Linked DNA regions of Ovis aries. The protein of the gene in region 1 purifies or fractionates together with the protein of each later gene. This does not show direct contact. Links are inferred from orthologs where the notes say so. Each region holds a gene or a part of one and is shown on either strand. Other genes may lie near its edges.

Evidence for each region. Proteins that work in one complex are often made in the same cells at the same time.
Region 2: the proteins of ATP11A (region 1) and TMEM30A purify together in Homo sapiens (co-immunoprecipitation; 4 studies listed by BioGRID and IntAct, with this or other methods). This does not show direct contact. The link is inferred for Ovis aries from reciprocal best matches to the Homo sapiens genes ATP11A and TMEM30A.

Annotation. Positions count from the first base shown.
Region 1 is NC_056063.1:85,711,809-85,716,011, reverse strand, and holds part of ATP11A (phospholipid-transporting ATPase IH), read right to left. Parts: intron 3,428-4,203; coding exon 3,176-3,427; intron 2,091-3,175; coding exon 1,916-2,090; intron 1,081-1,915; coding exon 978-1,080; intron 729-977; coding exon 583-728; intron 64-582; coding exon 4-63; intron 1-3. UniProt on the Homo sapiens protein: Catalytic component of a P4-ATPase flippase complex which catalyzes the hydrolysis of ATP coupled to the transport of aminophospholipids, phosphatidylserines (PS) and phosphatidylethanolamines (PE), from the outer to the inner leaflet of the plasma membrane.
Region 2 is NC_056061.1:2,092,269-2,097,171, forward strand, and holds the start of TMEM30A (cell cycle control protein 50A), read right to left. Parts: upstream 3,319-4,903; 5' UTR 3,318-3,318; coding exon 3,081-3,317; intron 1-3,080. UniProt on the Homo sapiens protein: Accessory component of a P4-ATPase flippase complex which catalyzes the hydrolysis of ATP coupled to the transport of aminophospholipids from the outer to the inner leaflet of various membranes and ensures the maintenance of asymmetric distribution of phospholipids.

The DNA of each region.
Region 1 (4,203 bases):
CACCTGCTGTGAAAACCCACAGAAGAACTGGTATAAAAACTGAGGGAAGATGAAGCAGACGTTCTGAAAGACAAGCCACGTGCCTGTTAGTTCAAGGGCGCAGCGTAAGGGGTGTCACCGGGTGCCTAAGAGGCTGACCCGTGACACACTCCACCCCGGGCAGAGCACCCCTCATCCTCCAAGATGGGCAATGACTCTAAAACTCCTCTCACTTCAGGGGCCCCCATGGTGCAGCTGGGACCAGGCCGGTCTCCCCGAGATCAGAGCAAAGGGGAACTCCTAACAGAGAAAAGAGGAGGCACCCTGGGCATCAGTGTGGACAACGAGGAGCTCCTTCACGGACTGGTGAAAGAATGGCCTTCCTCAGTCTGCCGCAGCGCGGCTCTCAGTGGTTCTACATCCAGCTGAGAGAAGAGGGCCAGGCGCCTCCTCCTGGGAATCCTTCCTTCTACTCGGGGACAAGTCACCCCTGCAGCCTCGGGGCATCACGGCTGGCCAGCCTTTCACCCAACCCATCACACACCCAGAGATGGTGAGAGGCGCGGCGGTGGGAGAGCCTAAATGGTGGGAGAGCCTTCCTACCTTATAAAAGAAGTATTGCACAAGCTCGGATATCCTGATATAATAGAAATGCCCGTGAACAAGCAGCATCTTCTTTAAATGCTTAAACTTGGGTATCGCGTAGTCGCTGTTCCTTGCAGCCTGACGACCTTCCTTCCCAATGACGCCTGCAAGAAGGGAGCGCACGCGCTGCATCAGCCCTCCTCTGCCTCTGGCAGGTGGACACGGGATGGGCAAAGCAGGGTTAGACTGAGCCATTGCTGTGGGCTTCCAGCCCGGAACGCTCTGCGTCACAGGTGTGCCTGAAGTGTGTGTCTGAACCCTACGGTCCTGCCTTGTCTGTGTCCCCGATGGTCCAGCTGAGGGACAAACCCTGGCCACTGTGAGAGGCAGGGGGGCAGAGCCCAGGGGCTCACCGATGCCCACGTGGGCCTCCAGGATCATGCTGACGTCATTCGCGCCGTCGCCAATCGCCAAGGTGATCGGGTGCTCTTTCGAAAACTTGATTAACTTAACGATCTGGAAAAGAAGTGAACGCAGACTTTCTTGTCTCTCTTTTATTTTTGCAAAGGTCAACCACTAACTAGGCAGAAAGGACAAAGACGCCAAAGTTAGTCAAGGAAGATGAAACAATTAAGTGCTTAAAGTGAATTATTATATTCAGTACATTTTATCCATACAGGATAAAGTCTTTTTCACGTCAAAAGTGAAACATACTTAAGCAGCTAAGAAACGAATGCAGGAAGATGAGAGGAGAAGGCTGAGGGGGAGGCTGAGGACAGAGCCAAGAAACCCACGGAGCCATTTTCAGGGGCTGCCCCACTCACTCAGATGTGGGGCAGGCAGACTTAAATTCGGGCAGGGGCAGTGTGTGAGCGCTGCACTCCGTTAGAGGATGGTGCTATGCCAAGTTGCCTTGTATCAAGCATCTATTTTTGAAAATAAACTGTTCTTTCAATTTTCAAATTTGTCATGTGTGCAAAACCAAATCTGATAGCTCAATGAAATGAATAATTTCCAAATTCTTAGTCTGTTTCTTTACAGTCTTTTTTTTCCTATTTATGTGCGTAAGTACAATGTTCCATGATGCAAGACAGAAAAGATGAGGGGCTACGGCTTGTCTTCCTGATTCAAGACTGAGACACTGGCTGGTATAAGATTGAGAAGTCACTTAACCCAAAAGGTAACATGTGAAGACAAAACAGCACCCTTTGTTCCATTCCGGACATCACTACACAAGGCTGAAGCCCCGCCCCCGGCACGCCTCCTGCAGCCCCGCCCCCAGCACACCTGGGCCTCCTGCAGCCCCGCCCCCAGCACACCTGGGCCTCCTGCAGCCCCGCCCCCAGCACACCTGGGCCTTCTGCAGCGGGGCCATGCGGCAGCAAAGCACAGCGCTGCAGTTCCGGCAGATGTCCAGGAAGAGCTCGCGGTAGTTGCTGGAGCTCCCGTCCTCCCGAGGCTTCATGATCAAGGACAGCGCGGCTCCGTCGATGATTAAGCCGTAGTCCTGCATGTCGGCCGAAAGTCTGTCAGGCCACAGAAACCAGAGACGTCTCTCAGTAACCAAGTCCAGAGATTTGAGGAGACTAGCTACTCTAGGGGGTACCTATCCATGCTACAAATTCAGGAACAAGGATTAAGAAAGTGGGTTTTCTTCTTTTGTCAATAATAAGACAGTCTAGACTTGGGGCTGCAAGACCTTTGACTACATTTTAAAACTGTATGTGAACTTAATGTTCTCACTTCACTAGGGCAAAGCAAACAACAGCTACAACTCTGGATTCTTGGGCAGGTCGCGGTACAACAGCGGGAGAGCGTCTATCCTGCCATCCGGAAAGATCGACCTTTTCTCCCGACCCCCAGCCACCTCAGCCCCACAGTCCTGATGGCCACAGCTGGGAACTCCTTGCTACTCTGCCTGTCTTGGGAAGAACGCAGTCATGATACTTCTCTTTGCTGGGTTTCAAAATGAAAAGGAACATCTCTAAGCCCCAAAAGGAATTCTGCAGACCAGGTAACGGGAAATAGCTTTGTACTATTTATGAATGAATAATTTTAAATTCGTGTATGATTAGAGAGCCCCATTTGCTTCTGCTAAGTTAATGAAAATTTAAGTTCAAAGAGAGTCTTATCTCAGATCGCACATCGAAGGCCAGCAAGGAGAATGTTGGTAGAATGTGCATGAATTGGTGAGCATTCTTGGGGAAAACAACTCTTGTGGACTGTTTTGTCTTACTTGACAAACGACCATGTGTCATTGTCCCCCCACCCCAACTCTGGCAGAGGCCCCGAGGAATCCACAGCGTGGCCCCCGGGTGGAGCAGAAATAGGTGGGCATCGCCTCACACACGATAGTGTATAAGTCAATGAATCAAGCCTCCGTGTATCCTCTATCAGCAGTCTGCAAGTGAGCATGGGCGCACGCACACACACACCCTCGACGCAAAGACACATCACAGTTGCTGAGAAGACAAGGCTCTGGTCAGGATCCCGACCACGGGACGCTGCCAGGGGCCAGAGGACAGACCTGTGTCCGCACAAGGGAGTGCCGGCCACCGCCCTGCCTGTGGAGGCCGCCCTGCCCCTGCGAACGCCCCGGACACCCGCCTACCCGGAGAAGTTGTCCCGGGTGAGGCTGGCGCTGCAGCGCAGCACTGTCTTGCTCAGCTCGAAGAGCACGTCGTGCAGGCTGTGCTCCTCCAGCCGCTTGGTGGTGACCTCGAGCAGCTGCGTGTTCCTGCGGAAGAGCTTGCAGGCGTAGCAGGTGGCGGCCGCCGTCTCCATCTTGTCGCCTGTGAGCACCCACACCTTGATGCCCGCCTTCTGCAGCGCCTCGATGGTGTCGGCCGCCTTCTCCTGCAGCCTGGGGGCGGGGGGCACGACACACCGTCATCAGCACGGACCCTCGAACCAAGCTGGAGAAGTCCAAGGACTTGGGGTCTGCTGCCCTGTCTGATTTTCACCCCAAAGTTAAAAAGCTCCCTGGTGCTGACCTGTGTGTGATTCACTGTGAAGGACCTGGGGCTATTCCCAGGTGGCTCAGATGGTAAAGAATCTAACTGCAGCACCACAGGCTCAACCCCTGGGTCAGGAAGGTGCCCTGGAGAAGGAAATGGCTACCCACTCAGGGAGTCTTGCCTGGAGAAGCCCACGGACAGAGGAGCCTGGCGGGCTACAGTCCACGGGGTCGCAAAGAATTGGACATGACTGAGCGACTAACACTTTGACTTCCACTTTTTGCATTAGCTTTTTACAACAAAGCGCTTCCTGATCCCAGATAATCCACAGGGCCGAATACTAAGGAGCAACATGGCATTTGCTGAGCACACACTTTTCTGTCTGGCAGGACTTTCTGCTCAGAGAAGATCTGGGGCAATTATAAGGAGGCCCCTCACAAGCACCAACCAGGACAGTCAGAACCAGGGAGAACGGGGCCTGGCGAAGAGGGAACGTGCGCCCCCTTTTCTCTGCGCGTAAGATGTCCTGATTTTGCCTGCTGTCCAACTGGAGCCCAGGGTCCCCTAAAGAACGTGAAGCGGGAGGATGCCGGCTGGGCCCTGGGACTGGCGGACTGGCGTCACAGGCTCCCTCAGTGCCAGGCGCTGCAGGAAGCACTTGCCTGAGACGTCCCGCCTTTGC
Region 2 (4,903 bases), on another chromosome or scaffold:
AATTTTCCACAGTTTATTGCAATCCACACAGTCAAAGGCTTTGGCATAGTCAAGAAAGCAGAAATAGATGTTTTCTGGAACTCTCTTGCTTCTTCCATGATCCAGAGGATACTGGCAATTTGATCTCTGGTTCCTCTGCCTTTTCTAAAACCAGCTTGAACATCTGGAAGTTCATGGTTCACATATTGCTGAAGCCTGGCTTGGAGAATTTTGAGCATTACTTTACTAGCAGATGAGATGAGTGCAATAATGAAAGTCTTAAAAGTTTCAAAAATGAGGACATAAGCTAAAGAGATGTGAGCAACGTGTAGTATTGAAGTGAATCTTGCCAAGAACTTCTTCTTACGTATTTATTTTTAATAACCCTCAACTTTAAACTAGTGACTGACAAAGGGTGGGGAGCAGTCAGAAACAAGTATGTGTGCTTAGGGGAAGTTCCCTAGGTTCTTCTAGTAACTCCAGGCTCAATTCAGAACCACTTCTCTACACAATCATCAAATTTTTAAAAAATTTATTTGCACAACTGTATCTGAGCATTGGTACAAAATTCCTCATCACTCTTAATTCTCATCTCCTCTAGTTCCAAAGGTGATACAACTTGAATATGCAGCGTTTTCTTAAAATCACATTAAAGTTGGAAGTCACGGAATATTAAAGTGGAACAAGGCCTCTAAGGGATCATCTAGTCTGAATCGTTCAGCTCTTCAAGCGAAACGAAAACTGAGACTCAAAAACATGCCTAAGATCACAAACTAGGGAGTAAAAGCTGGACTCTAATGCCTTGACTCAACTTCAGTGTCCTTCTAACGAGATCCAGCTACAGTAGACTCTTCAGACAGTTTGAAATCAGAATTACATACATGAAAATTATTTAAGAACTTTCCATTTCATCAACTAGCGTGAAGAACTTTATTTCAGAATCCGAAAGTTTTAAAGAAAGTTAACATTTACCTTCATAGTAAATATTGACAGAAATTGAGTTCTGATAATTTAGTAAATACTCATCATATAAATTCCAAACTGCTGCTTTCATCTTAATATCCACTAAAAACATAGACATAAGGATCCCAGTATAGTGTAAAAGCTTAAGACTGAAAATCAAGACATCCAGGTTTGGTTTCTGTCTCTATTTTACAATGCTTTTCTAGCTTACTAGCAAATACCAACCCCTCTGACTCCATTTCTCATCTCCTGATTAGCGGACATCACAATACAGTAACTAGTGTATAAATGTAGTGCCAGGAATATTATCTATCTTGTTTCTAAATCTCACAGTTCACAAAAAATAGGAATTATTTACCTATTTTACAAGTGAAGAAATTTAGGGCGATTATGTTTTGCAACAAACTGAGCCAGTTAATAGCTGAGCTGGAATTTAAACCCAGCTCTGCCTGACTCCTGCTTAGAGCCCACAGCCCTTGTATTATACCACTACGCTCACATCCTGGTATGTGTGGTCCTAAAAAGGTTTGGGGGGGTCCCTGGCGACTCAGACAGTAAAAGAATCCGCCTGCGATGAGGGACACCTGGGTTCAATCCCTGGGTTGGGAAGATCCCCAGGAGGAGGGCATGGCAACCCACTCCAGTGGTCTTGCCTTGGAGAATCTCCAGGAACAGAGGAGTCTGGCGGGCTACAGTCCATGGGGGTCTCAAAGAGTCGGACATGACTGAGCAACTGAGCACAGCACAGCACAGCACAATACAGTTGGGAGAACACTAAGGACTACATTTGAGGGTCTACTAGGAGATAAAAATGATAAAAGAGGACATTAGACTGAAAAAATTTACTGTGATACTTCATTATTAACTGAAAATGAACTTTCAGTAAAAGATTTTTAAACTGTGCTATACACTTGTATTACTAACACAGAAATGTACACGTTGTACAATTAAAAATATAATGATTCTGCTTTTACAGGTAACACTGTTAATTAAATTGGAAAGTATGCCTATCCCTGCCGTTGAAATAAAGTTGTTTTGAAAGCCCTATTAAATTGCATGCATACATTTTACAGTATTTAGTATAATTAAAAAGGGAAAAAAATGACATAACTGATAGAACAAAAAAAAATCAAGAGAATTTTGTGCCCGTTCCTCCCCTTTCAAACAGATAAAAAATACCCTCAGATAGTCAAGAAAAGAGGATGAGCAGATGTTTAATACTGGATATGTACACAAAGTATTTACATTCTGTACCAACCTATCTTCACCACTGCAGATGTATGAAGATACTATATTACGATGATGGTTTCTCTGACGGAAGTCAAGATGTTTCCCCAAGTTTCTCTATCATGTCTTACAACAGTAACACGTTCAGGAAATAATTCACAAATTACTCTCCCTGCGAGGTCACAGACTTTTTTTTTTTTTTTTTTTCAGTTTAAAATCTGGCGGGGTGGGGAGGGTTGAGGGAGGACGAGGGCGAATGTAGGGCATGATTATTAATCAATGTAACCTAAAAGTAAAACCGGAATTGAAGCGTCAAGTTACCTTTTACCCGTAACACGCCCCTGTAAGTAAAAGCATCTGTGAGCTCAACGTGAAAAGTACTGTACACACTTCGGTCACAGGTCCTAATACGTGATGTGCCACATGGCAACTTCTTTACATAAAAACCATCATTGCCTCTAAGACACTGGGTCCTTTCCCCAACAACGGCCAAGGTGTTGATCTCCGTGACTCGGGATAATCCCCACACAGATAAGTGACACTCTGACCGTGTCAACTCTCCTGGAGTTTGATGTCCATGTAACTTCTTTCCACTTCTCCTTTTCTTTTTTTTTTTTTCCTTTTTTAACCTCCGTTAGAGGTTCAAAACCACACAAACCGCCCATCAAAGGGGCGTTCTTCCCCTGACCCACACTCTGCATTACAGAGTCATTCCCCGACTGGATAAACAGCGAGGGAAAGCGCCGGCAAAACTGCAAATTCGGAAAAACCCGTAGGAAAAGAAAGAGGAAACTGAGGAAGACAGAAGGTGGGGAAGGGCAGGGCCCGCCCGACCCCCTGGACCCCAGGAAGGAGGGACACCGCTCCCCCGCGGCGCCAACGCGCACGGCCGCCGCCTCCCCGCCGCTCACCTCGATCTCGCGGATGTTGTTGGAGGTGACGAAGATGCCGATGCCAATGGGGATGAAGATGAGGCCGATGATGAAGAAGGTGGGCAGCACCGTGCCAGCCGTCAGGATGGGCTGCCAAGCCGGCAGCCGTTGCTGTTTGAAGGCCGTGTTATCTGGCCTCCGGGTCTTAGCGGTGCCCCCCGGAGGACACGGGGGCCCGCCGTCCACTTCATCCTTCGCGTTATAGTTCATCGCCATCGACCCCCCGGGCGCGGCTCCGCAACGCGCAGGTGGACGGCCCAGGGCACCCGCCCGCTGACCCTGACAGGAGACGCGCAGGCGCCGCCGCCGCCGCCGCTGTAGAGGCGGAAGGGGCGGGACACCCTTCCGCAGACAGCCGCCGACCGGAAGCGAGAGCTGGCGGGGGACGCCAGAGGGAGGGAGAGAGAAAGGAGGGAGAAGACTGAGGGGCAAGGGGAGGGGGAAGGGGAGGAGGATGGAAGGGGGAGGGAAAAGGCGGACGCACCCCGATCATCTGCCCTGTGACGACAAAGTGAGGGCTTCTATCCCGAGCGTGAAGCTGCGTTGGCGCATGCGCGGCCCTGGGGCGGGTGGGGCGAAGAGGCCTCGGCGCTTGCGCCATAAGCGCGTCTTCCACTCGGCTCACGGAAGCTTCTGTTCGCACTCCGCTGCCCGCTCTTTTTGGTATCATGGCGACGGGTGTTTCAGGTGGTTGACGGATCCGCCCCGCCTGCACTGCTTCCGTCAGCCGAGGGGCGGATGGCTTCAAGCCAGCTAGGTGTTTCCTCTACTTCGAGGTCCTCTGTGAAGGGGAGCGCAGCAGTGGAAAGGCCACACAAAGAGAGCCTGAGCCTCGTGGCATTGGCAGTATTTGCTTGAGTTACAAAACCACGACTTTGTCTACTTAAAGAAATAAACCTCCACTCAGAGTGCGAGGATAAATATTAAGTGGGATGTATATGGTTGGTGACCTTTTTGTTCTCAGGAATAAATCATGTGACTGGGTTTACCCTGTTATCATGCCTATAATTGCTCTGACTTGTTTTTCCACCATTAATGATCTCCAGGCTACTCTGTACCATCTATCCTATGTCCACGTTTATCTTTTGCATATTGATCTAAGTCTTAAAAAAATGAGATACAGTTGTTGTACAATATGAATCACAACTTTTAAAAGTTACACCCCATTCATAGTTATTAAAAAACATTGGCGATATTCCCAATGCTGTAAAATACACCTAATAATTGGTACATTTTAATCCCCTGCCCCCACCTTGCCCCTCCTCGCCCCTCCTCTTTTCCCTCTCCTCACTGGTAACTAGTTTGTTCTCTCCTTCCTTGTTATATTCACTAGTTTTACTTTTTCAGATCATACAAGTGATATTATACAGTATTTAAACTTTCTCAGTCTGACTTATTTAGCTTAGCGTAGTAACTTCCAAGTCTGTCCAAGTTGTTGCAGATGACAAATTTTCATTCATTTCTGTAGCTGTGTAGTATTCCGTTGCGTGGTGTGTGTGTGTGTGTGTGAGAATTAACTCTTTTCCATTTGTCTGTTGATGGACATTTAGTTTGCTTCCATGCATGCTAATCTCTTGTGTCCCGTTCTTTGCAGTCTTATGGACTGTAGCCACCAGGCTCCTCTGTCCATGGGATTCTCCAGGCAAGAATACTGGAGTGGATTGCCCTGCCCTTCTCCAGAGGCTCTTCCTGACCCAGGGATCAAACCGGTGTCTCTTAACATCTGCTGCACCGGCAAGAGGATTCCTTCTTACCACTAGCGCCACCTGAAATGCTGGTATGCAATTGGGGTGCATATAGCT